6 linked regions of the Ovis aries genome follow. The protein of the gene in region 5 interacts with the protein of the main gene of each other region in a pairwise test. Links are inferred from orthologs where the notes say so. Each region holds a gene or a part of one and is shown on either strand. Other genes may lie near its edges. The genes, in order: TIMMDC1, MARCHF5, KASH5, INPP5K, FATE1 and SYNGR1.

Region 1 (4,441 bases), on a different chromosome or scaffold from region 5:
AGGATCAAACCCACATCTCCGGCAACAGCAGGCGGAATCTTTACCACTGTGCCACCAGAGAAGCCTGGCAGACCATCATCCATGGACACAAAACTACAGCTGGACCAATCTTTTGCATAAATAGATAACAGTTCTTGAGAAAAAGGTATCATAGATCACTTTTATATGGGTGTTCAGATTTAACACCTCCATTTGTTGAAACAATGTGCTCCTAAAAGAATACCTAAAATCCTTCATGACGATTCAGAGAACTTACTTGAATATAGTCACAAACACGGCCGTTCTCCAACTCCAGCGCCAGCCATACCGGATGAAGCCTCGTGTAGCAGCACGATGGGCAGATTGCTAAAGTTAACAAAAAGGCTGTGAGGTTCCGAGATACCTTGATACTTTCCATGTTCTAAAACTGTGGTGGAGGAATGTCAGCTAGGAAATAGGTAGGGACACCTAAATAGATACAAACAATAGAAAATCTCTAGAAATGTCATTCTTCAATTACTGAAACTTAAGCAAATGCACCATGTGCACTCTATTCTATCACAGGGTGTAAAAGGAACTAAGAAATGCAGTGTCAACCAAGTAATTCATCAGTTAAATAGCAACTAAGAATCCATATGGCAAATACTATGAGCAGACATAAAATCAGTATTAGACATGCTTTTTTTCAAGAAATTGTGGGGAAAAGAAAAAAACAGAAAATAAAGAAGGAACACTGAGTAAACTATAAACAGTAAGGATTAAAGTAATACAGATGTGCATGAGAGGAAGAAAGGAAGAAAAAAAACCTAATCTTTACTGACCACCTTCTACGTAAAAGTTGCTAACATATTACCTCATTTAATCTTTACAACATTTTCTTCAAGCAGGTGTTAAAAGGCATAAAGAGAAAGTTTCTAACCAAGATCACTCAGCCAATAAAGAATAAAGTCAGAATTGGAAGTTACGTTGTCTGTGTCCACCGCTCATTTTCATTAACCATCATGAAGCAAGTCTGGCATAATATTGTGAGGGTAAAGCCTAGATTTTTAAAGAATCTGACAGAATCCCTAGGTGTAGTCTTAGCTACTATACGATACTGGGCAGGTATACTCTTTGAAAGGTATCAGTGCAAACTCATGGCTTTTACTGAATAGGCAGACAAATATAGAAACAGAGATATATGTATGAAAACGTATATAAATCACACACATACATACACATTTCCTAGCTCTATCTGCCTAGACACCATCATACCTCAGTAGCAATGAGCATGCCTAGCCCCAGATCTTGGTTTTTAAATACCGTTTTCTTTTTGCCACTTTATTTTTTTTTTAATTGAAGGATAATTGCTTTATAGAATTTTGTGGTTTTCTGTCATACATCAACAAGATCAGCCATAGGTACACCCATGTCCCCTCCCTCCCAAACCTCCTTCCCCATCCCACTCTTCTAGATTGTCACAGAGCCCCAAGTTCCCTGAGTCATTTAAATACCATTTTAAAAGAAACAAGGCTGGTGCTTGAAAAGATGAACCAGAAAAACCATGCTGTGCTCCAAAGTAAAGATGTGCTCAAAGACTAACGGGGACATCATCAAAAGGACACAGGAGCTAGCCTGAAGGGATTCCAACAGTCTAAATCGATGCCAAGTATCAAAATAAATGATGGTAATAATGGATTATAAAACCATAGAATAACATAAGAGTCAACAAGTCCCCGCTGAATAAATTATAAATGGATAAATGGACAGATAAATAGAGGGAAAGTGAAAGCTCTTCCTTACAGCAGAATACTAACCAATAAATATACATGGATGATGGAATTAGAAAATGGCCATTTGGTTACCACCACAGTAATAACTATTTTAGGAAAGAATCAGCACTGAATACTGAAACCAGAGGGTGAAAAATTGATGAAAAATAGGATATTTGCATAGTCTCAAAGTATCTAATAAGTATTTCTAAGATATTTATTAACCACAAAGGGAAAAACTCAATAATTTTATAGTGGATAAACATGGCAGGGACCATCTTAAGTGATTAAAGTAAGTATCCCCAGTTGAGGGACAAATAGGTATCTCATGCTTCTTATCATTACTTACTGGGAAGGATATAGTATTAACTGTAGGGTATTCCTGTGAAAACACTTAAGTGAAATTTAATCACAAGAAAACATCAAATGTCCAAATTGTGGGACATTCTACAATACAAAATAAAAGGCCCAAGTATTAAAAAATATTGAGGTCACGAAAGTCAAAGAACAATAGAAAAACTGTTCCAAATTAATGGAGACTGACTAGAGAGGCACAACAGGCAAATTCAACATCTGATCCGGTACTAGATCCTGGACCAGAAAAAAAAATTAATTACTCGTTTACTTTAAAAATAACGTTAGTGGGACAATAAGCAAAATTTACATAAAGTCCATTGATAAGATAATAGTACTCTATCAGTATTAATGTCCTGAACTGCATAATAATATTGTGGTTATGTAAGAAAATGTCTTTGTTTTTTAGGAAATGTATGCTGAAGCACTCACCATGCCTAAAACATACTCCCAAGCAGTTCACAATAAAACAACAGCATGCCTCATGCAGGGAGAATAAGAAAGCAAATGTGGTAAAATGTTAATGTTTGGGGAATCTGACTGAAAGGTGCACAGGAATTCTTTGTACAGTCAGCCCTCAGTATCCCCAGAGTTGGAACCTGAGGAAGTGGAACCATGGATATGAAGGACGTATGGTACTATGGTTTTTTTAAAAATAATAAAAGACTCGAGCATTTGTGGATTTTGGTATCCACACGAGTCCTGGAACCAATCCCTCTTGGACATTACAGGACACTGGCACTACTTTTGCAACTTTTAAAACTTGACACAATTAAAAAAAAACAACAACATAGATTTTAAAAAACAAAAAATTCTGAGCCATAACTTCCTCACTAGGACAACAGAACTGATATACAGATGTAAGATACAACAAATGAGTCAGCACTCAACAAACTGTAAAGCTCTAATTGTTAATGATTATTTTAGTGTGAGCTACTGTACTGCACATAGGCTTTGTGAATAGGATAAATACACTACAGCTGAACCTTGATGATTTAGCAGGAGATTAGAAATATATTTCAGAAAGTAGAGCCACGGTGGTGATCAATTCTAGTAAGAAAAGTGGTCTGACAAAGTTTGAGCACGCACTATAGCATTAGCACTTCCACTATTGCTGAGTAGACTTTGTTTCCTAAATCTTCTCAACCCTACTACCTAGCTAGATGATTAAGTATAAAGTGAGCAGCAAAAACTGCTGCTGCTGCTAAGTTGCTTCAGTCATGTCCAACTCTGTGCGACCCCATAGACGGCAGCCCACCAGGCTCCCAATTGGCATGCCCCCAAATACTATTAGAACACCAGTACGTACCACAGCATCAAGCTGGTTGTGGTAAACTTCTGCTTGGCTCTGCTCAATGTAGCGCTGTTTAGCATGAATAAATGCTGGTATTCCCCCATATGCCCAGCCAATGATGCCTGCTGAAGCTGCTGCCTTGTAAATATCCTGAAGTTCTTTTGAAGTTCTCTGCTGTTCACTAAAACATCAAAAAGACAATGTTGTTTGGGATTAGTTTATGGATACTGCTCTCCAAAAGACAGTATGATCAGAATTATCCCAAATGCTAAATAGGACTTAAGTTTTTCATGATGGACAGAACCAATTAAATCTTCTGATGAATTAAATAATTATATTGCAAGTGGCTCAAATCTCAGTTAAAACTAACCTATGCTTTCAGAAGTTAGATTAGTAGGTATTCTTGGGAAGGCAGGGGCAAGGACAGAGAAGGGGCACAAGGGGGAGCTTCTGGGACACTGTTAACAGTCTCTCAGGGCTGGATACAGACCTATGCTTAGTGAAAAGTCACTGACAGGTATACTTATGTACATTTTTCTAGGTGCATATTTTATTTATACTGCAATAAAAAGTTTTTTTAAAGGGTTATTTCATTTGATGACTCTTACAGCTCTACTATATCCCTGGAAACAGAAAGAATTTGTAAACTGGATGCAGAAATTAACAATTACCTTTTTGAATTTTTAGGTAACTTTTGGAAATTATAAAAACTTATGGGATTTTAGGACAATATATGCAAGAATGAATACCTATATGTAAAAAAAATACCAAAATTTTATCTTTCTGAATATTTAATTTTTATGTCATGCTCAGATGGGCCTGTACTATCTATTAAAGACCACTGAGTGAGAAAGCTCATGATGCAGTGGGCAGCACAGACCAACCTAAAATAAATGGGAAAAGCTACTATTTCATTCACTCTATTACTCTCAAAAGCATTAGAAACTAGAAGCTATGTTGCGGCTTCCAAGATGTCCTCTGGAAATTGCTCTAACAAACAGCTAAGTTTGTAAGTGTTTAGTTACTAGAAGTAATGGCCCTCCTACATAAGTAAACCACTGAA
Region 2 (4,884 bases), on a different chromosome or scaffold from region 5:
GGGGGGAGCCAAATTCAAGCAAGAATTCTGGGTCCTAACAGGTTGACATATTTTAGTCTCTTGAACTTGTCAGTATTCCTCAAATGAACCCATCAAGTATCTTTGTGTTCAACTTGCAGGGGGGCTAGCCCAGATTAAGATGATAGTAAATAGAAAGGAGATGAGGGAGGGGTGTGTGTGTGTGTGTGTGTGTGTGTGTAAATTGCTAATTGATTGGTTACATTAGAATTTTTTTTAAAAATATTAATTTATTTGGCTGGATTGGGTCTTAGCACAATGCACACAGGCTTCTCTCTAGTTCCGGCACTCAGGCTTCCTTGTCCTGTGGCATGTGGGATCTTAAGTTTCCCCAACAGAGATCATACACACGTCCCCTGCGCTGGAAGGCAAACTCCCAATCACTGCACCACCAGGGAAATCCCGGTTATACCAGGATCTTAAGTACCTTCTGTGTGCCTAACATACGAATGGCATTTTATTGTTGTATAAAACACAACAGAGAGCCTGTACAAGAACAACAACAAAGTACTTATACTTGTTCTCATTTATACAGTCCTGTAAAGTAGGACATTATCATTTTTTAAAGATGATGTAGAACCTCAGAATTTAAATCCAAAGTCATATAGCCGGTAAGTGGCAAAAAGAGAATTTCAAGATTTCTGTCCAAGCTTACCTCACTAAAAAGTACTATCCCTTATCATGAAACAATCACTTAGGGTTTAGGGTAGTGGGAATTCCCTGGTGGTCCAGTGGTTAGAACTCTGCTTCCACTGCAGGAGGCCCAGATTCAATCCCTAGTTGGGGAACTAAGATCCCTCGAGCCATGTGGCACTACCAAAAACAAACAAACAAACAAACCCTTTAAAAGTGATTTTCAACCACAACAAACATCTGAAAAGCTTTTAAAAATACCCATGCTCAGGCCCTATTCTCCAGAAATCTGTGAACTAATTGGTCGTGGGTACAGTCAGGCATCTATCCATATGTTAAAATACTCCTCAGGTGATTCCAACAGGGGGCCAGGCTGCAAAATGATCTTTGAATATCATCTTAAAGAGATATGTCAAAAAGAGAAGATGAGGGAAGCCAGTATTACAGTCACCTGTTTCAGTATATGCAGCCAGAATTTCCAAGTTTCTGTTGAGACCAACTGTAAATGTCTTGCTGGCACTCCTTGGGTTTTTTACTTTTATGGAAATCTCCAAAGCCAGATCAGCTTTTGGACACAAAAGTCAACTACATATAAGTGGAAAGCAGCAGGCCCTCAGAGGGGGTAAAAATTAATTACAAAATACCCAGCACCAAAATAGGGTCTTTGATTGGAATTGGCAGTGGCAGAAAATGGTCTCCTGTGGGCATATTTCAGTTGTCCTATGTAACTTGCCAGTATGGTAAATTATTAGACCACTACAGAACTGGTGAGAAAGACAAAAAAGTTCATGCATTTGTTCATAAAAGTATTTACTGATGACTTGCTTTGTACAGGGGGTTGTAGAATTTGAAATAATGACTTCTGCCTTTCAGGAGCTTGTAAACTACTTATATAAAAAGGGAGTAGTCAATACAACTTGATCTGAATGCTCTCCTAGAACAAGGGTTGGATTAATCACTGGGTCACCCCAACTGAAAAAAAAGTCAGTACCATGATTTCTAGACGGGGGAGCCTGGTAGGCTACAGTCGAGGGGGTCGCAGAGTCGGACACGACTGAGCGACTTCACTTTCACTTTCCACTTTCATGCACTGGAGAAGGAAATGGCAACCCACTCGTGTTCTTGCCTGGAGAATCCCAAGGATGGGGGAGCCTGGTGGGCTGCCGTCTATGGGGTCGCACAGTCATACACGACTGAAGCGACTTAGCAGCAGCAGCGGCAGACGTCCCAAAATTCTAAGCTCCAAAGGAAATGTCTGTCACTTTGAAAGAAGAGGTACTCTTGAGTGATTTGTGTTCTGGGTGTGATCCAAGCATAATTTCATTGGGTATAATTTCATTTAAGGGAGCCTCTTCATTTAACACTTTCCAGTTGGATTTGTTCTCAGTATAGAGCTATATCACACGCTGAAGTGGGTAGCGAGTGGTCTACTGAGAGTTGTAGGCAACGAAAACATACATTACCCAATAGCATTGGCGTTGCCAGGAAGTTATGTCCTTAGTGGAAAATGCGGAGTAAGGGTCTCCAGAAACTCGTGGTAGAACCCAGAGACTAGAATTTCAACAGCAGAGGGCTCTGCAGCCGATTTCACATAAAGTTTTACCGACCGGACCCTCCCCCTCCCCCTCCCCCGCCCCCAGGAACTTGCCGCATGACAAGATGAAACTTTCTCAGGGAACTTAACGCATGGTAAAATACACGAAATGTTCAGGGTTGGATTTCTGTGTTTCCCATAACCTCTACTCTGGTCTGACCGTTAAAGTCCCTTGCGGATACTCTTGGTCTTATAGTTTGGGGTTGGGGATGCGGAGGAAGGAAGAATGAAGTTTGCCCATGAAGCTTTCCAAACGAATGCTTATTTTTCCTCGGCTTTTGGAAAGAGTTAAAATTGGAGGAGGATCATTCCTCAGAAAATTAGTTTGGCTCTTCTCGCCAGTGACATCTCGGGCAAACACGTTACAACACCGTTTGGGGGGAGGGGAGGAGAAGAGTGAGAAAAAGAAACTAATTCTCTGGGTTCATAGAAGCCCCTCTCACTTCGCAAAGGCGTTCCGACGAAGCTAGACGCCACTCCTTAACTAAGTTTCGCTTTAAGTCTACGCATCCAGGCCGCCCGCTCCGTCCTCCCGCAAGTACTGACTCCAAACTTTCGGCCCCTCGCCCGGCCCCCAGGCCGTAGAACTCCTCCCGGCATGCTGGGCTCCGCTCCGAAGAGCCCCGAGGCCGGGCGCGGCAGGGCCGGAACGAGGATCAGCTGCTCGCGTCCTCCCCAAAGGCTGCCCGTACCTGTCCAGCATCTGCTGTAGGGCTTGGTCCGGCATCTTCGGCGGAGCCGGCGCACTCGCCTCTCCGGTGAGCCCGGTCAGGGCCGGGCCCAGGACAATAGCACTGAGAGGCGGCGGAGTAGGCCTCAGTCCGGCGGCAGCCGCGAACCCGCCACCCAGCCTCCCGGGGCGGCTCCGCGAGCCCGGCGGTGGCGGTGCGCGGCCCGCGGGCGTCCGGAGGAGGCAGTGGGGAGCGAGGAGGAGGAGCCTAGGGCGGGGAGACGGCAATCGCGGCCGGGGTTCCTGCCCGTCGGCCCGGGGTTCCGGTCCATGGACCGCGGGCGCCGAGTTGCTGCCGGCGGAGGAGCTACCTCTGTGAGGTAAGAGTCACCGCCTCCGTGCGCGCTGGGGTCACGACGCAAGGCGGCCCAGAGCAGCCTGGGAGATGTAGTCCTCGGACCGTCCCCGCTAGAGGCTGCACAGCCCGCCCGGACCACCGCCGCCGCGCCCGCCGCCGCCCGGCCGGCGCCCTCCCGTTTCCTTCCTCCAGGGGGAAAAATGTCCTGCGGGCCGCTTTCCAGGAAGCAGCAGGATGTGCCGCTCCACTGTCAGTAGCATCAAGGTCAGCTCTCCCTGCCTGTTTTCTCTCAGCTCTGGTGCTCAGGTGGGACCGAGCCAGGTGAGGGGTGGGATCTAAAGGGCCATTTCTCGGCAGGGTCTCCAGTCCCGGCCGCGGCGTCGGGGTGGGCCATGGAGGGGGTGGGGGTGGCAGAAAGCGTCTTCGGAAGCCCTCAGCGCTGGGGCCAGCCTCTGCGGCGTCTGAGCCCATTTTGGGGAGTTACACAACCCCTGCAAGGGGTCGGATGCTCTAGTGCGTGAGGTTATTCCTGAGGGGTCGGAAGGGCAGGGGCTGCCTTGACCAGAAGGTTCCCACCCGAACCTCTCAGTGTATGTTTCTCAGGGCGGGGGGAGAGGGGTGGGGTGTGTGTGTGTGTGTGTGTGTGTGTGTGTGTGCGTGCGTGTGTGTGTGTGTGTCGAGGGGAGATTATTCCCTCCCTCTCTAGGAACCTTCTAAAATGTGCCTGGGCTTTCAAGGGCTTGCCAATAGTCTCCAAATGGAACATGGTCGTGAATAAACAGCTCTTGCTTACTCAGCTGTGGGTTGTCAGGGGTGTTTGTTTCTCTGTCTGCTGCTGGTCAGTGTTAACCATTTCTAGTCGCCTTGACACCTCCAAGCAGGTGGATGTGTGTGGAGGAGAGATCAAAAGGAAAAAATCATAAATCGCTCGTTGAAGTTATTCTCTGATGCTCTAGGGACAGCTTTGGCGGGAGGAAAAACTGTTGGCTAAAAGGAAGGAGTCTTTTGGACGACCTGTGGCGTTCTCTAGTGCTGTGATTGGTAGAACGTTTGGTAGTTTTCTCCTGACGATGCCTAATTTCTGCCGCAAGATGTTTGATTTTTCTTTACATTAAAATGTGTTTTTAAAGTTCTTTTAATTTTTACGCAGAATTTTGCAATCAGCTCTAATTTCTTGCTTACAGTCTGCTTCCTGAATATATTTGAACTAGAGTGTACATCGCCAGGAAGAAAAATAAAAATAACATGTGACCAGAAGTTATTTGGCCTCTGATTTCTGAAAGATGCTTTTATGAAAGACTTTGGGAATTTACGTGACTAATTATAATTAATGCTTTACCCTTTTCTCATGAAATGAGAAGCAGGCCCATGACAGGGGAGGGAAATAAGTAATTTATTAAGGCATTTGAGATTTTAAATTCCTATTTATTACTACTCCTACTGGGTAAGTCTTCTCTTACCGTGTGTTTATCTGTTAAAGCAATTGTCAGCCAGAAGGAGATGGATACATACATTCTGCTCAAAAAACAATTTTATTCTAGCATATTGATTGCATAGGTTAGAGCAGACTCCATTTAATTTTATGACTTACATTAAAAGGAATTTTCACCT
Region 3 (4,441 bases), on a different chromosome or scaffold from region 5:
TCTTCATCTGTTTAGACTCTGTCTCTCCGACTAGAACATGAGTTCCACAGGGCAGGGTCAGTTTTATTCACTCTGGTATACCCAGTCCCTGGAGCAGCATTGGCCAACGTGCAAACTATATATATATATATATATATATATATATATATATACACACACACACGTAATTTTAAGTTTTGTTAGTAGCCACATTGAATTAAAAAGAAAAACAGACAAAATGGATGGCAATCATAGTATTATTGAACCTAATACATCTAAAACAGTGTCCTTTCAGCATACAATCAATGTAAAAATGTACTGAAGTTACTCTCTTTTTTTATAAGTTTTCAGCATCTGGCATGTACTTTACACTGACATGAGTGTGTGCATGCTTAGTCACTTCAGTTGTGTCTAACTCTTTGCAGCCCTATGGACTGTAGCCCGTCAGGCTCTTCTGTCCGTGGGATTCTCCAGACTAGAATACTGTAGTGGGTTGCCATGCCCCCCTCCAGGGGATCTTCCTGACCCAGGAATCGAACCCACATCTCCTGTGTCCCCTGCATTGCAGGCGGATTCTTTACCCACTGAGCCACCTGGGAAGCCACTTTATACCAATAGAGCATCTCATCTCACTCTCACCACTGTTCAGATCTCAAGAATCACTGTGGCTGTCGGCTGTCCTGCTGATCATGCTGCTAGGGAGCAATACCTGACATATAATAGGAACCCAGTTACTAACTTTTGAATGATCAGTTGGACACAGACCAAATGGGTGTGAAAGTGGCTTCAGGAGGAAGATGTTGGGTTGTCCTTTCTGAAACTCATCTACTAAACAGTGAGAGAGCCAAGGGAGACTCCCACCCTAGAGGAGAGACAGGGCCCCTTTCTTAGAGGCTCTTAGCATCTAGCCTCAAAGCCGGTGTCTTCTCTCTGGCCTCAGGAGGCTTGCCAGATAGGAAGGCAGGAGGCAGACACCTGGGCAGGCTGACCAAGTGACCAGCATCTGAACGTGTAAACTTCATGTGCACCAGCAGAGGGCGTGCGGCCGCCGAGGAACTTGTGGCCGCGCTTTGGGAGACTCCCAGAGAAAAGGGAGGGACACACCCAGGAGAGATGGAGACTGAGGAAAGCAGGAGATGGAAAGAGAGAGAGTGACAGTGGAGGAAGGAGAGAGAAGCCTTGGAGAGTCGCTGAGTTACGGGAGAAGCAGCACAGAGACGAGAAGATGGGGGTGGAGGACGTGGAGACAGGCAGGTGGGACTTGAGGGCCAAAGAGATAGGGAGGAGAGTGGAAAGAGTCGGAGACAAAACTGGAGAAAGGACAGGACAGACAGAGAGGTAGAGACACTGAGGAAGGAAAGAGAACAGGAGAGAAGCAGAGTGACTTCTTCCTGAGGGGCCCCGGGAGGCTGAGGGTCGCATCTGCGCTGTAGATCCATGCAGCTCCTCAGATCCCACGACATCTGGAGCCAGGCAGTCCTGGGTGACCTCACTGGGCCACAGGGTCCTCCTGTATAATGTAGGGGGGCACCACGTCTCCCCTAACTGTAGGTCCTGCTCCCTTTCCTTAGAAGCCGAAGTTCAAACCCGAAGGGGCTAAATTTTTAGCTCAGTACAGAGAACCCTTGAAGAGTTAGTGCGATGAGAAATGGCAATCAGATGTTGAACATGTGACCTTGGGCAAGTTTCCCACTTGTCTGTGCCTAAGTATCCTGGTTTGTAATCATAGCAGCCACTGTGGTTCATGTCAAATGCTCAGAAGAGGCGTGGCTCCTAGTAAATGCTGAATAAATGTGCAGTTTTATTATCGAGCTTCCAGATTTTATTAATATCTTATCTCCTCTCTAGGAGGGAATTAGCCCCCACTCACCCACCCACGCATTTTCCATAGGAAGAAACTGAGGCTTAGAGAGACTGAGTCCCTTGCCCAGGTTGCACTTGAGTCTGCCAGACCTTGCAGCCTGCACTCTGCTACACCCATCTGTTCAGGGGCAGGGCAGGAGCTTCAGCGGTCACTTCCAGCCCCTGGAGAGATCCAGTGGGTCCAGGGGTGGAGAATGTGTAGGCTCCTTCTATATCTTGGAGCATTTTTTGAGTGCTGCTTTGTGTGGGCACAGTGGATACAGCAGCAGACAGACCCCAGGATGTTCACATTGTGCGGAGGTGGGAAGCAGGAAGTGCTCTTCACTTACACAGACCTCACCCTCCCAGCCCCAGGGAGGGGGAGGATCACTCTATCCACCCATTTTACTGGTGGGAAAACTGAGGCTCCAAAAGGCAAAGAGACTTGCCCACAGTCCTGCAGCTGGAACTCTGAGGTCGGAACCGCACCACCACTCACCCTGGCTGGATTGTCCCATCCCCCTTTGTTTCAGGCCCCAGCCCGTGGGCGCTGATGATGCCAGCCAGCCTCAGGGATGTGGGGAGGAGAGACCCAGCCCTGAGGCAGGCTGAGAGACCGGAGATGCTGAGGGCAGGCGGGATCGATCCAGGCTGCCCGCGCGATATTGGATTGTTCCTGGTTCCTGGGCCCCCTTCACCCTCCGCTTCTCCCAGAATCCTCTCTTCTTCATCCTCCTCTGTCCCTCGCCCCCTCTAAGCCAGGGAAGAGAGGGGAAAAGGCTATAAGAGGGTTTGTTCAGTATTGTGGGCTCCTGAGCCGGTTGGACACAAGGGATTAGACAGCGGGGGCGGGGGGGGGCACTTCCTGGCCTGAAGGATGAGGGGGGCCCACATTCCCAAATCGGGGGATGGGGAAGGTGACTCGAGGACCCTCACCTTGTGGCCCCCACCAGCCCAAACCCCAGGCAGCTTGGAATGAATTCCCTCCCCTCTGCAGGAGCCCCTCTTTGTTCTTCATCGTCCCCCTCCCCACAGATGGGCTGGCCCTCTTGTCTCCTCAGTGTACCTCTGGGACCAGGCAGAGGACGGGAGCCTGGGGACACTGCTCAGCTTAGAGGAGCAAATACTCAACTCCACGTTCGAAGCTTGTGACCCCCAGAGAACAGGTCAGAGGGTCAAGGAATAATAAGGAACGAAGCTGGGGGGCTGAGAACTGGGGGGCCACAGACAGAGGGATGGGCTGGGGTGATGTGGTTGACTGGGAAGCTTCAGGAAGGAAATGGATAGGGGATGGTGAGGGGAGGAAACCTGGGGGAGGAGGGTAAGCAGAGGAAGGCGGGGCTTTGGAGCCTGGGGGAGGGGGAAAGGGCAGCCACTGTGGGCCTAGTGGGGCTCAGCTGGTCCTCTTTGGTCCAGCTCTGAGGTGCAGATGACTGGGCCCCGTTTCCAGGTGAAAACGTTGACTCGGGGGAAGAAGAAGGAGTTGCCCAAAGGCCACGGTGCAGGGGTGCCACCAGCCCAGCCCGTGGTCCCCACCCCTCTCCTTATCCTGACGCAGCCTCCCTCACAGCCTCTCTGTCCCCAGGCACTGTGGCTGTGACCCATCTGCTAGCCTACCTGGAGGCCGTGACTGGACAGGGTCCCCAGGATGCTCGCCTCCAAACACTGGCCTGCAGCCTGGACCCCAATGGGGAGGGCCCTCAGGCCACTGTGGACTTGGACACCTTCCTGGTGGTCATGCGGGACTGGATCACTGCCTGTCAGCTGGATGGGTGGGTCCCCGCACCTCCATCCCCCACCCCAGCCCCCTCAGAAAACCTTTCTTAAGACCTAAGCTCATACCTGCTTACTGCAGCCAGCACGCTTTGGGCACAGGGACCTGCTGTGGTTGGAAGGAGGCTGAGAAGAGAGGAGAGTAGAGATGAGGTTGGGGTGAGGGAAGGGTCTGAGGGCAGAAATGAAAGGGGCTGGAGAGTGGAGAAGGGGGATGTTGAGAGGCTGACAGAGGCCCCTCCCCACCCCTCCAAGCACAGGCTTTGCCCCTCCTGCTTTTCCATCTGGCCCCAGGCGCTTGCCATCTGGCCTCACCTTCCTCCCCACGGTGCTTGCTCTCACCTGACCTGGCCCCCTCCCATCACCCGCAACCCCCTGTCGGAGGCTGGTCAGGATTGGGGGGGGTTGGCTGCAGGGGCCCTAAGCCTCATCCCTTTGATACAGGGGATTAGAGCTGGAAGAGGAGACGGCCTTCGAGGGAGCCCTGACCTCCCAGCAACTGCCATCTGGTGAGATCGCTATATATAGAATGAAGCAGGCAGGCCTAGGGTCAGACAGTGGGGGGGACTTCCCATGGGGGCAGAGCAGGGGATAGGGCCAGACCCCAGAGACATTTGTTCTAACCTAGCTTTCTAGGCACCTGCATGACTGCCTCCCCACATGCCCTGAGCTTTGGGGTTTGCATTTTTCCCCTCAACGGTTGTTTTCAACTCCTCCTCCTGACACCAGCCGTATCACGGAGGTCTCTCCCACCTCTTACCAGCATCACCCTTCCCTGCACTCTACTTCCTGCATCCTCTGTCCCTTTGGTCTTGCCCCACCTCCCGCCTGGCCTGGGCTCAGGCTG
Region 4 (4,441 bases), on a different chromosome or scaffold from region 5:
GACCTTCTGAGATACTGTTTCCTTATTTGTAAGAAGTCAGTATCAACACTGTCTACCCAACGAAGATACAGTAGGAATCAAGTGAAGTGATGCGGGCAAAGCCCTCTGCCCAAAGCCTGGCCCGTGGTCAGCACTCAGCGATGTCAGTCACAGTGTGGATTGTATCTATCACATAGAAATAGCACCTGCCTTCTCCTTGGCAAGCGTTTTGCTATCCTAGCCCTGACCTCCTTTCTGCTGCTAGCTGGCAAGACTGGCTGTGCGGACTTCCCTGGTGGCCCAATGGTTAGGACTCCACGCTTCCAATGCAGGGGGTATGGGTTGGATCCCTGGTTGGGAAACTAAGACCCTACATGTTGTGTGGCACAGCCAAAAAATAAATACACATTAAAAATAAATACAATTCATCAAAAAAAAAAAAAAAAGATTGGCTGTGAACTTGGAGGCACTGCGGGCTAGAGGAAAGCCTCATGGGCAACACAGTCTGGAGAGGTCTAGCCCCGGCTCCACTATCACGAGCACAGCCACCTGGGGAAGATCGTGAACGTCTCTGAGCCTCTCTACACCGCCTGCGTGACTTCCAGGCTCCTGAGGCTTCCCTCCCGAACCCGGGGTTATAAGCAGAGTGATGCCTGGCCACGTGGCCTGTTAGCAGCTCTCTTCCTGCGGGCAAGTGTCACCTGGTAGAGGATCTCGGCTTGTCCCACAGAGGCCTGACAATTTCCACGATGATCCTCATTTCCAATGGGTGGCCAGGGAGACGGGCAGTCGCGGACCTGGGCCTGTAGGCCAGTGGGACCCTGCCCTCTTCCCTACTTTCTGGCTTGTGCTGCGGCCCAGGCTGGCCCTCGGTTCCAGTGTCTGTGGCCTCTTCTTGTGTGCACTACCCGTGGCTGTGACCCCACTCTGTCTTGCTCCACACGCCTCAAATGGCTCACGCTCTCCTCATCGCTTGGTGGGGACATTGTGGCTCTGCCACATGGCTTCCGGCCCTGGGCCAGCAGGGCCCCTCTCATCCTGGCCTGGCTGTGGACAGATCTACTTACCGCCTAAATCCCAGAGGACTGGGCTGCCCTGGGGGCACCTCCTATCTCCCTCAGAAGACAATTCTGCTAGGGGAATACAAAGAGCCCCATAACATGTAGGGGGTTATTATTCTTCAAAGAGATGAGGGTCCCTGCCCTAAATCGGGTCAGGGGCTTTGGGTCCGAGCTACTTTTGCCCCACTGCCTAAGTCTAAGGTTTTAGTGGTTACCTATCCCTTTCTCAGTTCTTTAGAAAGGCTTTCAGTAAAACTCCTACCTGAAGACCTGAATCTAAAAACAACAACAGCAGTTATCATGGTGCCTACCGGGTGCCAGGCACTAGGCTAACATGCCGGGTCTTATTTATTTCTTTTTAAATATTCATTTACTTGGCTGCCCTGGGTCTTAGTTGCAGCACGTGGGATCTAACCAGGGATCAAAACTGCACCCCCTGCTTTGGGAGCCAGGAGTCTTAGCTACGGGACCACCATGGAAGTCCTTTGGTGGTCTCAATGAATCCTCAGTCCCATGAAATAGGTACTGTTATCATCCCCATTTTATAGATGGAAAAATTGAGGCTTAAATACCATGACCAAGGTCATTCTGCCGATAAAGCACAAACTGTGCTTCTAATTTCTAACCAGGTGCCCTATCTCTGCATTGTTCCCCATTAACTGCCCCACTGACAACTCCTACTTCATCTTCCTTAACTAGTACTCAACCCACTCACAGCCACGGCAGGACTACTTAACACCAGTGGCTGGCTGAGCCAAGCTTTCTGTCCCCACCATCATCTGGGCAGGACCAGAAACACTGTGGGGGCAGAAGGGCAGGAGTCTGAAGGATGCTGAAGTACAGTCCCTCCCCGATCTCCCCTGCCCTGCCGTCAGCAATCAGCTGTCTTCCCTCCCCTTTGGTTCTACCTGCCCCGGCCCCAGCCCCTATTCTGGCCAGCACCAGCTCCCCATCCTGCTCCCTCCTGGGACAGCTCCCACAGGCAGCCTCTCATCAGGGGTACGGAGGTACCACTCCTGAGAGGTGATGGCTGGATCTAGTCCTGCTCCCCTGACACTTCTAACTGAAGGTGGCTCCCATGATCACAAGGGCCAGCATGGTCTGACTTTCCAGGCCCAGATCTGTGACAGGCACATCCTCTCCCGGTGGGGCCCTCTCACCTGGTGTCATAGTTGTTGGAGTTTTTATCAAACTTGTAGGTGGGTGGGAAGAGCAGGGAGCCTTCCTGGAATTCCCGCAGCAGTGGGTCGTGTCTCTTGGCGATGCTGAGCTGGAGGAAAAGGGATCAGCACTTGCCGTCACAGTGGGGCAAGATTCAAACCTGGCGGTACCCTCCCAGTCAGACTGCTCCTCACTGCCCCAGCCCTGTACCCCACCCCCAGGACAGCAGCTGAATGCGAACGCAAACATCACCCCCTCACTCTCACCCCGTAGTCCCAGGGGAGGGAACCGCCTGGCACTTTCCAGTCCTTGAACCACAGGGACCAGGCTATGAATTCTATTTCCCTAGGGGCTACTAGCAGAAGTGTATCAGAGGGGAGGCTGGAGTAGGCAGATGTCCCAGTGGGTGGCATCTCACCCTCCAGGAGGCAAGACAGGTTGGGAGTGGGAGAGACCACAGGGACATTCAGGGCTGGTGCAGGGCAGGCCAAAGCCCTTCTCGCTCCCTGACCTCACACACACCTGGTGCTGGAGCGCCTCCAGGTGGAGACCAGGCTGGCCAGACAAGCCTGGCTGCCCCGCTCCCAGCAACCAAGGCCTATTCTATTAGACTCTGCCCTGCCTGGGGTCAGGGACTTTTGAAGGCTTGGGAAAGGAGAACGGGCGCTAGGGAACCTCCCCACACCTCCTGCTGACCTCCCTGCCCTTGGGCTCAGAACTCTCCTCTCTTGGGCTCAGATCTCCACTCTCAGATACCTGATCCTTCTCCCACAGGTCACTGTAGCGCTGATTTTTTATGGATTCTCGAACAAAGTGCAACCCGAAGTCCTCGATCCGAAAGTTCATGTCTCCAAACCAGAGAATGAGGCTTCAGAAAGAAAGGAAGGCAGGCGGCCTGAGGGTCTGTGATGGGGTCAGAGCAGGCAGGAGGCCACAGGGGCTCTGACCGCTCGCTGCAAGGCTCGAGCAGGAGGCTCGAGGGGCGGGTCAAAAGCCAGAGGCTGAGAGAGGATCAGGTGAAGACAAGGGTGGGCTCCAAAGGGCCTGTTCTCCTGGCCCCACCAGCCATTCAAGCCAAAGGGACCAGCCCTGAGAGGCAAGTGGCAAATATGGAGCAGGCTCTAGCCCTCCCTCCCTGTCCCCCAGCTGGGTACCCGGCACCAGGTACCCCACAAGGCACACCTGAGAACCAGCCCTTCCCGGGGACCTAGGAACCACAAGGTTCTTGACCTGGGGGAAGCATCCAGAGTTTCTAGGCAGGACAGAGGGGCCAGGCAAAGGGAAGGGGTCCCAGACCCCAGGCAGGCAGAGCTGGAGAGGAGAGTAGACAGGGCATCAGGAAAGAGGCTGCGAGAGGGCGGGAGATGGGGGCAGACTGACTCTGGCAGGGAAGCAGTGACCGGGCAGAGCAGGCTTGCCGGGGCTGGCCTGGGGAGAGGGTCGGGCACGGTTCACAGCAGCACGCTCACTCATGGTCCAGGATGTTGGGGGTATCTTGTGCCTCAAAATTCTGCATCTCCAGGATCCGGTCAAAGTGCTCCAGCCGCTGGTCATTGTTGGCCATGTGGGGGGGCAGGTGGCAGTTGATGATGCTGACATAGTAGCCGTAAAGCTTCAGAAAGATGTTGACACCCCCTTTGTTCCCCTGGTAGGTGGGCAGGAAGTGGGGGGACACACCTCTGTTTTCCCATCCGGGGCCTGAGGGCAGATGGTCTCAGTTCCTGCGGGATCTCCCAGGGTCAGCAGACACTCACCTCCGCACAGCCCAGCTCACCTACCTGCCGTCCCAGGGACACTAGGCCCCCCAGAGGAGGGAAGGCAGCTATGCGGGGCACTGGCCTGGACAGAGTGCCAAGATTCATTTCACCCCCTCTTTTCAATTCAGTCAATCCCTTTTTCAGTTGCCCAGCTCTAATGCCGTCAGCCCTCCCCCATCCAGTGAGAGAAGGCCCCCAGCTCTTGACTCAGAAAACAGCTCAGTCCTTACCCAGTACCCAAAGAGGCCGGTAGGGGTGGATTTAGTAGACAGGACCTGGATAAAGGGCAAATGCTGGTACTTGGCAAAGATCAGTAAGAGGAGCCCTTGCATGCGGACACTGGAGACCTGCGGGCAGAAGGGTGACAGTCATTCATGTCCCTCCAGGGCCTGTGCTGGGCGCCCTTGAGAGCCCTGCCTGAGCCACACGGATGTCCTGCCCTAGGGGTCTAGGGCATCTCAGGGCTGATGGGAGTCTCAGCTG
Region 5 (4,974 bases):
TCTCTCTCTCTCATACACACACACACGCACATGCCATCATGTTTATTTTATATCTAGTGACTAGCACACTCTCTCATCTTTAGAGATGGAGAAGCCTTGACTGACTTGGGGGCTGGGATAAGCTCTGTTGAGCCACTAAAGCCAATAACAATGTAATGATCCAGGTCCTTGCCCGCGGAGAAATGTGTATTTAACCCTTGGTCCCAGAGAAAGGGCAGCAGTTCTTTTGATGGCCTCCTGGCCCCCAGCACATTGGCCCTGAGGCCAGGCCCGAAGCAGTGACACTCCTGCCCTCTTAGGCCAAGTCCCAGTACCATACTCAGCACACTGTCCTCTATGAGAACATTTCAGAGCTGTGGACACAGAGGAGAAGGGTTCAAAGTCCCTCTATGTGATCTCCCATCCGGCCTCCGAAGCTGAGTTGGGGCTGGTCCCCAATCGATCTGTTGGAGGAAGGCCAAGCCCTAGACCCTAGGGCTGTCTCAGGTGACCCCAGGGCCATGTTTCCCTTCTTTGGGCCTCAATTTCTCCTGAGCAAATGGAAAAGTTTGTGGTCCTATCCAGGAGATTTCTCTGAATGAGTCCCTGTAATGTCCAACTAGGACAAGCTGCTGCTGCAAAACTATGTCCCCATAAGCATTTGCTGGTGGAAGTCCCACAGGAAGGGCTTTGCCTAACTCTGCCCCTAAGGAGTGCCTTCCCCAACTGGGCAGGCAATGGAGAGGCAGGAGGAGCCTGGGAAGGAGGAACCAAGGATTTTGTCCAGAGGGGCTGTCCCCATGCGAGTCCTGGATGCAAGAAATTCAGTCACCAGGGTTTGCTGCTATAACTGAACTTTTATTGAGAATATTCTGTGTGCAGAGCCCTGAGCACAACCTTGAAGAAAACAGGGAAGACACAGCCAAGCCCCTGCCAAGGATGGAACAGAAGAGACACTGAGGGCCCAGAGGCAAGGTCTAGCTCCAAGATGGTCACCATGGAGCCCTGACAGGGAAGGAGGAAGCACCTACCACTGCTGTTACTGTGGGGACTGGAAACCACCATCCTCTCCCTGCAAAGAGGCTGGATCTCAGTCCATTCTGACCTTCGCGATTCTACACTTCCTCCACCTCCCAGCAGCTAGGGCCTCCCTCGGGCAGAGGTGGAAAATGGTGGCGATACTGTTGAAGGCTGCTGAAAGTTAGAAGGAGGATGGCAGAGGTGGCTGAGGGAGAGAAGGGAAGAAAGGGAGGACTGAAGGGCTCTAGCTGCACGGCGGACCGGCAGGAAACATCACTGGCGCATCCACAGCCATAGGTTGGCGATGCAGGAAGACAGCAGCATGGTGAATAACAGCACCTCCCGTTGGTGCCAGGTGGCACTCTGGTCCTCCAGGTAGCGCAGACGCTCAGTAATCATGAACAGCTGCAGAGAGACCAGAGCTAGCTGGTGAACAAGGCTCTTCTAGGGAAGTCCACAGCACACCAATGGGGGTAAAATATGACTTTAGACCAAGGAGGGCCTCTGCTGTGCTTTGGGAGGAAAAGGGCCTCTGGGCAAGAAGCAGGCAGAGCAGCTGACCAGGGCTGGGGATGGGCCCAGTGTAACCCAGAGACTGGGCTGTCTGTGTTCTCAGTCCCTGCCACCTTGCCTCCACCATCACCAGTTCTTCCCATTGTCTGGAAGAAGCCAGCCCATCCCAGCTGCCAGGGAAGGGGATGGGGTGCAGCAGCACCAGAGTAAGGGCCTCAGGATGGGGTGACATGCAAGGCCAGAGAGGGCCACCAGGGAAGACATCCTTCCTGCCCATGCCCATGCCTGCTGGGGTCTCAAACCAAGGAGACCTGAACTTGGCCTGAATGAACATGACCCCTGGCTCAGTCCTCTTGGCATCACTCTCTATGAATAAACTTCTCTTATCCTCTGATGTCCCCTCTTCCTCCTCTTCTCCTCCCTTCTCCCTTCCCACATGTCAGGCATAAAGATGGGGTTGAGCCTAGGCCTCAAGATAGGACACTGGAGACAAGAAGGCTGGGTGAATGGGGAAGCAAGCCTGATTTCGCCTCCACTGCTAGCAGATGAATATGATTGGAGAGGCTGGGTATCCTCAAGGTGGGTGGCCCCACCCACCCATTCACCATGATTCTGCCTCCCACCTTCAAGTGGGTCCCTGACAATCAGACACTCACCTGTCTTCTCATGATCTCCATCTCCAGCTCATTGAGCTCTTCCAGACCAATCTCAGCCAGTGTATTTAACTCTCGGCTGCACAGAGAGTTAAACACAGAGAGTCAGAGCCTCTGGTGGTCCCAGGAGAGCCATAAAGGCAGATGGGTAAGGTTGTGGACTTCTCTGGACCATGAGTCTGTCTGCCTGGAGCTCTCCCCTTCTCTGGTCACAGGTCCTGAAGCCTGAGGGCTGGGAGCTGGCCCTGCTGTGGGATGCTAGGAGGCCCTGAACAGGCAAGGGGCCAGGGGGCTCTATGGCTGTGGTGAGGAGGCAACAGAGTCCCCATACTCCAAGCATGGCCAGCTGTTCACTGCTCCCTCTTGGGCAGTCTGCTTGCCAACTCCCTGGGTCCCTGCCCCAAAAGCCCTGTCCTTTCTCTCCCGCAGGGTCCATGGGATCCTTCTTACCGCTCATACTGGGACCTCATGCCCTGGGAGCCGCCAGGATTCTCCTGGGGTCGGGCACCACCATCGCCTTGTTCTCCCACCACTCCAACTCCCCGCAGCTGCAGCCCCTAGGGAAAGGAACCATCAGTCAAAGTATCCTGCTTGGGCCCATACTTTGGGAGCATCAGCACACCCCATTGGGAGTCACGTGGAGCCTGATCCTCCAGAATCAGAAGAGCCTGGGAGTCACACAGGTTGGCTGCCTGCCACCACCCCACCTCCACCAGGCTCCTCTGGCCATGGGGCTCTCCAGGCAAGACTTCAGGAGTGAGTTGTAATTTCCTACTCCAGGCGATCTTCCTGACCCAGGGATCAAACCCACGTCTCCTGCATTGCAAGCAGTAAGATACCTCAAAAACAGCATTAAAAGGACAGTGTGTGTCAGGAAGACTTCAGGACTATAAAGAAGAATTAGATAGAGAGTCTCTCCTAGAAAAATTTCCACAATACCCCCTTGATTTTCTTATAGATTGGGATCAGAATGAGAAAATGCTTTTTGAGAGAGTTGAAGGCAAAATAAGGATGAGTTAGTAGGGTGTATTGTTTGTTTGTTTGTTTGAGGTAAAATATTTTATATTTAACACATCAATATCTTAAGAATTAATTTAACAACATATGCAAGCCTGATGATAACTTGTGATCACCAATCATTTGATAGGTCTAACTGTCCAAAGGAGTTGTCTTTTCTTTCTTTTCTTTTTAATTTTAGAAACTCTCTACTTAGAGTTATATACATTTCAAAACATCAGATTTTTATTTACATTTGATGGGGATTTTTAAAATCTATGAACTGCAGCAAGTGCAGCCTCCCTCTGTCAATTATTTCCAAAAATGTTATTTTTATTTTCATTTATTTTTTAAGGCACACTACATCATTTTTCCCAAATGAGCAGAGTAGTATTATGAATTTTTTTTTTCTTTCATGTTGTGGTTCTCTCAGAGGCAATAGCATTTCATTAACATTTTACTCAAAAATAAATAATGAATAAATATATAGAATTTATACATTTAATTCTAAGTGTCTAAATTTAATTTCTACAATCAATATAAGGACTCTATTTTTTAAAGGTATATTCCTCTAGTCCTAATAGGCAACTATAATTAATCTAGAGATTAATTAAACCCCTCTCAGTGCCCCCACCTTCTACATCAAAGTTAGAACATAAGCAGCTTGCCCACATCCAAGGTGAATATAGCTAACAGAATCAGCCACAGAACTACTAGACTTAAGTGATTTCATGAAACAATCAGGTCTCCCTCCTCCTCAAAATGGCTGGCTTTTCCCCATATTTAATGCATGTGAAGAAGATATGGTAGAAAGTGAAGAACTAAAGAGCCTCTTGAAAGTGAAAGAGGAGAGCGAAAAAGTTGGCTTAAAGCCCAGCATTCAGAAAATTAAGATCATGGCATCTGGTGCCATCACTTCATGGCAAGTAGATGGGGAAACAGTGGAAACAGTGTCAGACTTTATTTTGGGGGGCTCCAAAATCACTGCAGATGGTGACTGCAGCCATGAAATTAAAAGACGCTTACTCCTTGGAAGGAAAGTTATGACCAACCTAGACAGCATAATAAAAAGCAGAGACATTACTTTGTCAACAAAGGTCTGTCTAGTCAAAGCTATGGTTTTTCCAGTAGTCATGTATGGATGTGAGAGCTGGACTTTAAAGAAAGCTGAGTGCCAAAGAATTGATGGTTTTGAACTGTGCTGTTGGAGAAGACTCTTGAGAGTCCCTTGGACTGCAAGGAGATCCAACCAGTTCATCCTAAAGGAGATCAGTCCTGGGTGTTCTTTGGAAGGACTGATGCTAAAGCTGAAACTCCAATACTTTGGCCACCTGATGTGAAGAGCTGACTCATTTGAAAAGACCCTGATGTTGCGAAAGACTGAAGGCAGGAGGAGAAGGGGACAATAGAGGATGGGATGGTTGGATGGCATCACTGACTCAATGGACATGAGTTTGGGTAACCTTCAGGAGTTGGTGATGGACAGGGAGGCCTGGCGTGCTGTGGTTCATGGGGTCACAAAGAGTCGGACACGACTGAGCGACTGAACTGAACTGAACTGAATGCAACAACATGGCCACCATTTTCTCTACAACATTCCCTCATATGGTTAGTATAATTTTAAAAATTCATTACAGAGGAACAAAATGTAACTCGGCTGATTTTCTAGAACATCAGGTCTTCCTGCCTCTCCAGTCAATTTGCCTTCCCTCTACCTCCTATAACCTTTGCAACAGTAAAACAACCATGTTTCTAAAATTGCCAGCATCTGCAGCAAAAGTAGCTTACTTATCAGATGGGCTACAAAACATGA
Region 6 (5,125 bases), on a different chromosome or scaffold from region 5:
AGGAAAGTTCTGGCAAACCAGGGAAAATCGGTGATGGATGCTCAGACTCCACTAGCTCAAAGGTGAAGCTTAAGACCTGCCAGACTCTGTGGGGAGCAGAAGGAACCCGAGGGCAAAGGACAGGTCGGCACATGTGTCCACGACATGACCCCAGCATGTTAAAATGTCTCAGGACACCATGTGTTTTTGAGAAAGACTGGAAGGAGACAGAGGCCCTTCTTATGAGGTGGGATCACATGGGCTTTTTCTTCCTTTTTTTTGTGGTAAGATACATACAACATTGGAATAGAAAATGGCAACTCCAATAACCTTGCCTGGAAAACCCTTTGGACAGAGAAGCCATGCTAGGCTGCAGTCCATGGGGTCACGAAGAGTCGGGCACCACTGAGCACACACACACATAACGTAAAATTTACCACCTTAACCATTTTTAAGTGTACAGATCAGTGGTGCTAAGTATGTATATATCATTGTACAATCATCACAAGTGACTTGTGTTCTCTGTTTATTGGCAGGTATTACTTCTAATGACTAGGAAAAAAAACCTATGTACATTTTTAAAAGTGTCAATCAGCCTGTATCAGACACCTCTGCTCATGTAAAGGTAGTGAGCAGGGCTGGGAGGCTGTGGGGGCCTTTGGGGTATTGGATGGGGGCTGTGGACCCAGATGACCCTTATCCTTCCCCAATCTGAGATCTCAGGATTCCAAATGCTTCCTGATCCAGGGAAAGCACTGTGCTTTGGAGACAGGAAGGTTTGAGTTCAAATCCTCTTCGTTTGCCACCACGATGCTCAGTAACCCTGGGCCTCTCTGAACCTCAGATGCCTCAAGTGCGTCTCCAGGGGAAATAGGTGAGCAATCGTGAGTGCAGTCCTGCACACAATAGGTGCGTAGTGACTTTTTCTGTCTTCGGCTTGGAAGGTCCTCCCTGTGCATGGATGTGCACGCCTGTCAACCCTCCTCATTCTTCCAGGCCCAATTTGACATCACCTTCTCCAGGAAGCTTCTCTGATTCCTCCCCGAGCGCTCCCAGCCTCTCTGCCTGGGGGTGCCTGGCTCACTCCCCGGCAGGACCGGAGGCTCCCTGGCACTAAAGGGATGTGTCTGAGTCATGCCACCTTCCCTCTGGGCCTAGCCGACTCAATAAAGCTTCGCTAAATGAAGCCATCACCAGCAGAAGTGACCCAGGCAGACAAAACGCCCACACCCCCTCACAAAGCCGGTGACTTCACCCTCCCAGGCCAGCGGCCCAGAGGCCAGGTGAGGGAAGCAGAGCACAGAGCCGGCCCACCTGGTCAGGCAGGTGTCCCCCAGAGCTGCACTGTTGCCGAGGATTTGCCAGGGTCTCTGCGGAGCTGGAGACGACACGGATGAATGAACCTGGCACCACAAACCTTCCAAGATGTACCCCTGGGGTGCCTGGCCGTGGGCCATCACCGGGCTTCCCTGCCCCCAGAGAGCTCCCCATCTGGGGGGCACTTGAGAAGCCTGGAGTGTAAATGTTGCCACGATGCTTCCTGAGGCACCAGAGGCAGGTTTGAACGTTTTAAGACAAAGCAAAGGTAAATAGCTCCCTTTTCCTCTGGGAGGCCAGAGATAAACACCCAACGGTCCCACCCATCACACGCTAATGTGGCCCTGAAAATCCAGGAAGTGAGGGAGCTTGAGCATGCCTTGGCCTCAGCGGGCTTCAGGTGCACCCCCTGGGGTGGCTGGTAGGGCCCCTGCCCAGTGTCCCCAGTGCGGGCACTTCTAACATAGGCCCACAGGCAGGGGCCCCAGGCCTGCAGAGGCAAGACCCTCTAGTGAGTGGGCCTGGGCAACCCGAGGGAGCCCCAGATACCCCTTTCCAGAGAGGGGCAGGCCTCCCTTCCCTGGGGGTGCCTCCCAGGCCATGTGAACCCTTCGCCGTGTGCTGGTTCTGTCCCATCCTCTCCTCAACCCCAGCTTTGAACAGGGACCCCCCCACTCAGCTCTCTGCACTGGGGTATTCTGCCCTCACCAGGCTGGAGGTCAAGTTCGGGCCTCTCTGCCCTTCTCTGTGGGCAGGGGTCCTTTCTCCGGCTCCCACGCCCCACTGCTGGGGCATCCAGGTGTGTTCAGGGCTTGTCCCCAGCCCAAGGAGGTCTCAAGGAGGCTCCTCCCATCTGGCCACAAATAGGGAAACTGAGGCAAGCCAGAGGAGGTGACGCTGCCCATCTCAGAATTTAACTACTTGTTTCCCAGGAACATTTCTCCAGTGGCTTCCAGCCCAAGGTCACGCTGCGGGAAAGGCAGTTCCCAGTGGAAGCCAGGAATCCGGCTCCCGCCGCGTCGCTCCACACTGTCCAGGTTAAGCCACAAAAGCCCGGTTTCCTGCCCTCTCCTCCTTGAACGTCCATGGCAAGCGCGCGTGCACCCCCACGAGACGATCCACGCCCTGATTCACCCCCCCACTCTCAAAAACAAGGCCACCTGGTGATTCACCGACACACACCCCCCCTCAAAAAAAAAAAAAAAGCCACCTGAAACCAGGGTTTGGTCCCCACGGTCGCCAGTCCGCCCAAGCGGCCGCACGCAGCCCGAGCCGTGAGGTGGCTGGTCGCGGCCTGGAGGTCACCGCGACGCGGGGGAGAGCAAGTAGTAGGGTCACCGGGAAGCCAGGGGTGGGGGAGCAGGAAAGCCTCCGCGAGCGCTGGGCACCCCTGTCCGGGGGCTCGGGAAGGAAAGAGGGGCGGGCGTCAGAACCCCGGGCGGACGGCTCCCCACCAGCGGCCGCGCCCGGGTCCCCCGGTGCCCCGGGGGTAGTTGGCGTCCGTCCCGGCGCTCGGCCCTTGCCCGCACCTCCCACCCCGGCTCCCCACCCCGAGTCCGGCCGGGCCACCCGGCCGTCCTTACCCAGGAAACGACGCGCAGGATGGTGTGAGGCTGCCGGACCAGGGTGTAGGGGTCGAAGGCGCCCCCGGCTTTGCCAGCTCCGTACGCACCCCCTTCCATCGTGGCTGCACCCGCGCGGTGCCCCCCGTTCGGCGCGCGCCGCCGGCCCGTGCGCGTGCGCGGCGCCCCCGCCCCCTCCCCGGCTCGCGCCACCCGCGTGGTCGAGGGCTCCCGCGAGGGGGCGCTGTGCGCGGAGGGAGCCGGGCGGGCGCGGGTTCTGCGGTCCGGGCGGAGGGCGCGCTCGTCGCCGGCTTGGTGACCTCTTTGCTAAGTAGAGGGGGCGGGGGGACGAGGAGGGGGTGTGTGTGTGCAGCAAATGCAGGGCTTGTCGCCGCCCCCCAGGACCGGGCCGCCCTGCGACCATCACTGCCCCCTCCGAGCCTACGCGGCTCTGGGATGAAACCACCTTCCTTACTTGTTTGCTGGTTTCCTGGCGATCTGTCTTGCCCCCAATATAATGAGCGAGGAGGGACCGCCTTTGTCCTCTTTATGGGGTGCTTGGGACACAGGAGGTGCCGCAGGAAGACTTTTCGAATGAATGAACCGTGAATGAATAACCTTTCTCTCGAGAGCCTTCTGAAGCACAGCTCCCCACCCCCTGCCCAACCTCCTAGCCTTCCACCTTGCTTTTACGCTCACTGCTCAAATCCTATGTGTCCTCCACTCCCAGCCTGGAGGGGTCAGCGATACTTGGCTCAGAAACAAAGGCGGAAGAAGGACAATAAATTCTTTGGGAGAGGTCCTGCCTACCCCCACCCTACCAGCAGGCTTCCCAGGTAGCTCAGTGGTAAATTATCTGCCTGGCATTTCAGGAGATGATGGTTCAATCCTTGGGCCAGGAAGATCCTCTAGAGGAGGAAAGGTAACTCGCGCCAGTATTCTTTCGGGGGAAATTCCATGGACGCAGGAGCCTGGCGGTCTACAGCCCATGGGGTTGCAAAGTGTGGGACAGAACTGGGCATGCAGGAATGCCAGCCCACCATCATACTGTGCTTCCAGTAATTAGTATTATTTGTTCATCGTCTTCCTCTGCTAGTGTGTGGATTTTGTCTACTTTGTTCACTGCTGTAACCAAGGGCCTGGCACACAGTTCAGTCACTCAGTCCTGTCTGACTCTTTGCGACCCCATGGACTGCAGCACACCAGGCCTCCCTGTCCATCACCAACTCCTAGAGCCTGTTCAAACTCTTGTCCATCGCATAGGTGATGCCATCCAGCCATCTCATCCTCTGTCGTCCCCTTCTCCTCCTGCCCTCAATCTTTCCCAGCATCAGGGTCTTTACCAAGGAGTCAGTTCTTCGCATCAGGTGGCCAAATATTGGAGTTTCAGCTTCAGCATCAGTCCTTCCAATGAACATTCAGGACTGATTTCCTTTAGGATGGACTGGTTGGATCTCCTTGCAGTCCAAAGGACTCTCAAGAGGCTTCTCCAACACCACAGTTCAAAAGCATCAATTCTTCAGTGGTCAGCTTTCTTTATAGTCCAACTCTCATATTCATACATGACCACTGGAAAAACCATAGTTTTGACTAGATGGACCTTTGTTGGCAAAGTAATGTCTCTGCTTTTTAATATGCTGTCTAGGTTGGTCATAGCTTTTTTTCCAAGGAGCAAGCATCTTTTAACCTCATGGCTGCAGTCACCATCTGCAGTGATTTTGAAGCCCAAGAAATTAAGGTCTGTCACTGTTTCCATTGTTTCCCCATCTATTTGCCATGAAGTGATGGGACCGGATGCCATGATCTTCGTTTTCTGAATGTTGAGCTTTAAGCCAACTTTTTCACTCTCCTCTCTCACTATCAAGAGACTCTTTGGTTGTTCTTCGCTTTCTGCCATAAGGGTGGTATCATCTGCGTATCTGAGGTTATTGATATTTCTCCTGGCAATCTTGAGTTCAGCTTGTGCTTCCTCCAGCCTGGCATTTTGCATGATGTACTGTGCATATAAGTTAAATAAGCAGGGTGACAATATACAGCCTTGACGTACTCCTTTCCTGATTTGGAACCAGTCTGTTGTTCCATGTCCAGTTCTAACTCTTACTTCTTGACCTGCATACAGATTTCTCAGGAGTCAGGTAAGGTGGTCTAGTATTCCCATCTCTTTAAGAATTTTCCACAGTCTGTTGTGACAGTAGGTGCTCAGTAAACAGACCCTAGTCCCCATCACCCTGTCACTGCTTGGCCTAGAGCTCCAGGTATCATGGAAA

Evidence for each region.
Region 1: the proteins of FATE1 (region 5) and TIMMDC1 interact in binary tests that used the Homo sapiens proteins (3 or more experiments, as listed by UniProt). The two-hybrid records come from large-scale screens. The link is inferred for Ovis aries from reciprocal best matches to the Homo sapiens genes FATE1 and TIMMDC1.
Region 2: the proteins of FATE1 (region 5) and MARCHF5 interact in binary tests that used the Homo sapiens proteins (3 or more experiments, as listed by UniProt). The two-hybrid records come from large-scale screens. The link is inferred for Ovis aries from reciprocal best matches to the Homo sapiens genes FATE1 and MARCHF5.
Region 3: the proteins of FATE1 (region 5) and KASH5 interact in binary tests that used the Homo sapiens proteins (3 or more experiments, as listed by UniProt). The two-hybrid records come from large-scale screens. The link is inferred for Ovis aries from reciprocal best matches to the Homo sapiens genes FATE1 and KASH5.
Region 4: the proteins of FATE1 (region 5) and INPP5K interact in binary tests that used the Homo sapiens proteins (3 or more experiments, as listed by UniProt). The link is inferred for Ovis aries from reciprocal best matches to the Homo sapiens genes FATE1 and INPP5K.
Region 6: the proteins of FATE1 (region 5) and SYNGR1 interact in binary tests that used the Homo sapiens proteins (3 or more experiments, as listed by UniProt). The two-hybrid records come from large-scale screens. The link is inferred for Ovis aries from reciprocal best matches to the Homo sapiens genes FATE1 and SYNGR1.

What each region holds. Positions count from the first base shown.
Region 1 is NC_056054.1:185,153,054-185,157,494, reverse strand, and holds part of TIMMDC1 (complex I assembly factor TIMMDC1, mitochondrial), read right to left. Parts: intron 3,560-4,441; coding exon 3,394-3,559; intron 346-3,393; coding exon 257-345; intron 1-256.
Region 2 is NC_056075.1:13,570,904-13,575,787, reverse strand, and holds the start of MARCHF5 (E3 ubiquitin-protein ligase MARCHF5), read right to left. Parts: upstream 3,298-4,884; 5' UTR 2,973-3,297; coding exon 2,938-2,972; intron 1-2,937. UniProt on the Homo sapiens protein: Mitochondrial E3 ubiquitin-protein ligase that plays a crucial role in the control of mitochondrial morphology by acting as a positive regulator of mitochondrial fission and as an important regulator of immune response.
Region 3 is NC_056067.1:55,593,828-55,598,268, forward strand, and holds part of KASH5 (protein KASH5), read left to right. Parts: intron 1-2,882; coding exon 2,883-2,987; intron 2,988-3,406; coding exon 3,407-3,593; intron 3,594-4,038; coding exon 4,039-4,103; intron 4,104-4,441. UniProt on the Homo sapiens protein: As a component of the LINC (LInker of Nucleoskeleton and Cytoskeleton) complex, involved in the connection between the nuclear lamina and the cytoskeleton.
Region 4 is NC_056064.1:22,526,232-22,530,672, forward strand, and holds part of INPP5K (inositol polyphosphate 5-phosphatase K), read right to left. Parts: intron 4,306-4,441; coding exon 4,189-4,305; intron 3,847-4,188; coding exon 3,671-3,846; intron 3,070-3,670; coding exon 2,958-3,069; intron 2,311-2,957; coding exon 2,201-2,310; intron 1-2,200. UniProt on the Homo sapiens protein: Inositol 5-phosphatase which acts on inositol 1,4,5-trisphosphate, inositol 1,3,4,5-tetrakisphosphate, phosphatidylinositol 4,5-bisphosphate and phosphatidylinositol 3,4,5-trisphosphate.
Region 5 is NC_056080.1:84,011,346-84,016,319, forward strand, and holds the end of FATE1 (fetal and adult testis-expressed transcript protein), read right to left. Parts: intron 2,723-4,974; coding exon 2,616-2,722; intron 2,245-2,615; coding exon 2,169-2,244; intron 1,405-2,168; coding exon 1,273-1,404; 3' UTR 817-1,272; downstream 1-816. UniProt on the Homo sapiens protein: Involved in the regulation of endoplasmic reticulum (ER)-mitochondria coupling. Negatively regulates the ER-mitochondria distance and Ca(2+) transfer from ER to mitochondria possibly implicating it in the regulation of apoptosis.
Region 6 is NC_056056.1:216,597,763-216,602,887, reverse strand, and holds the start of SYNGR1 (synaptogyrin-1), read right to left. Parts: upstream 3,030-5,125; 5' UTR 2,979-3,029; coding exon 2,880-2,978; intron 1-2,879. UniProt on the Homo sapiens protein: May play a role in regulated exocytosis. Modulates the localization of synaptophysin/SYP into synaptic-like microvesicles and may therefore play a role in synaptic-like microvesicle formation and/or maturation.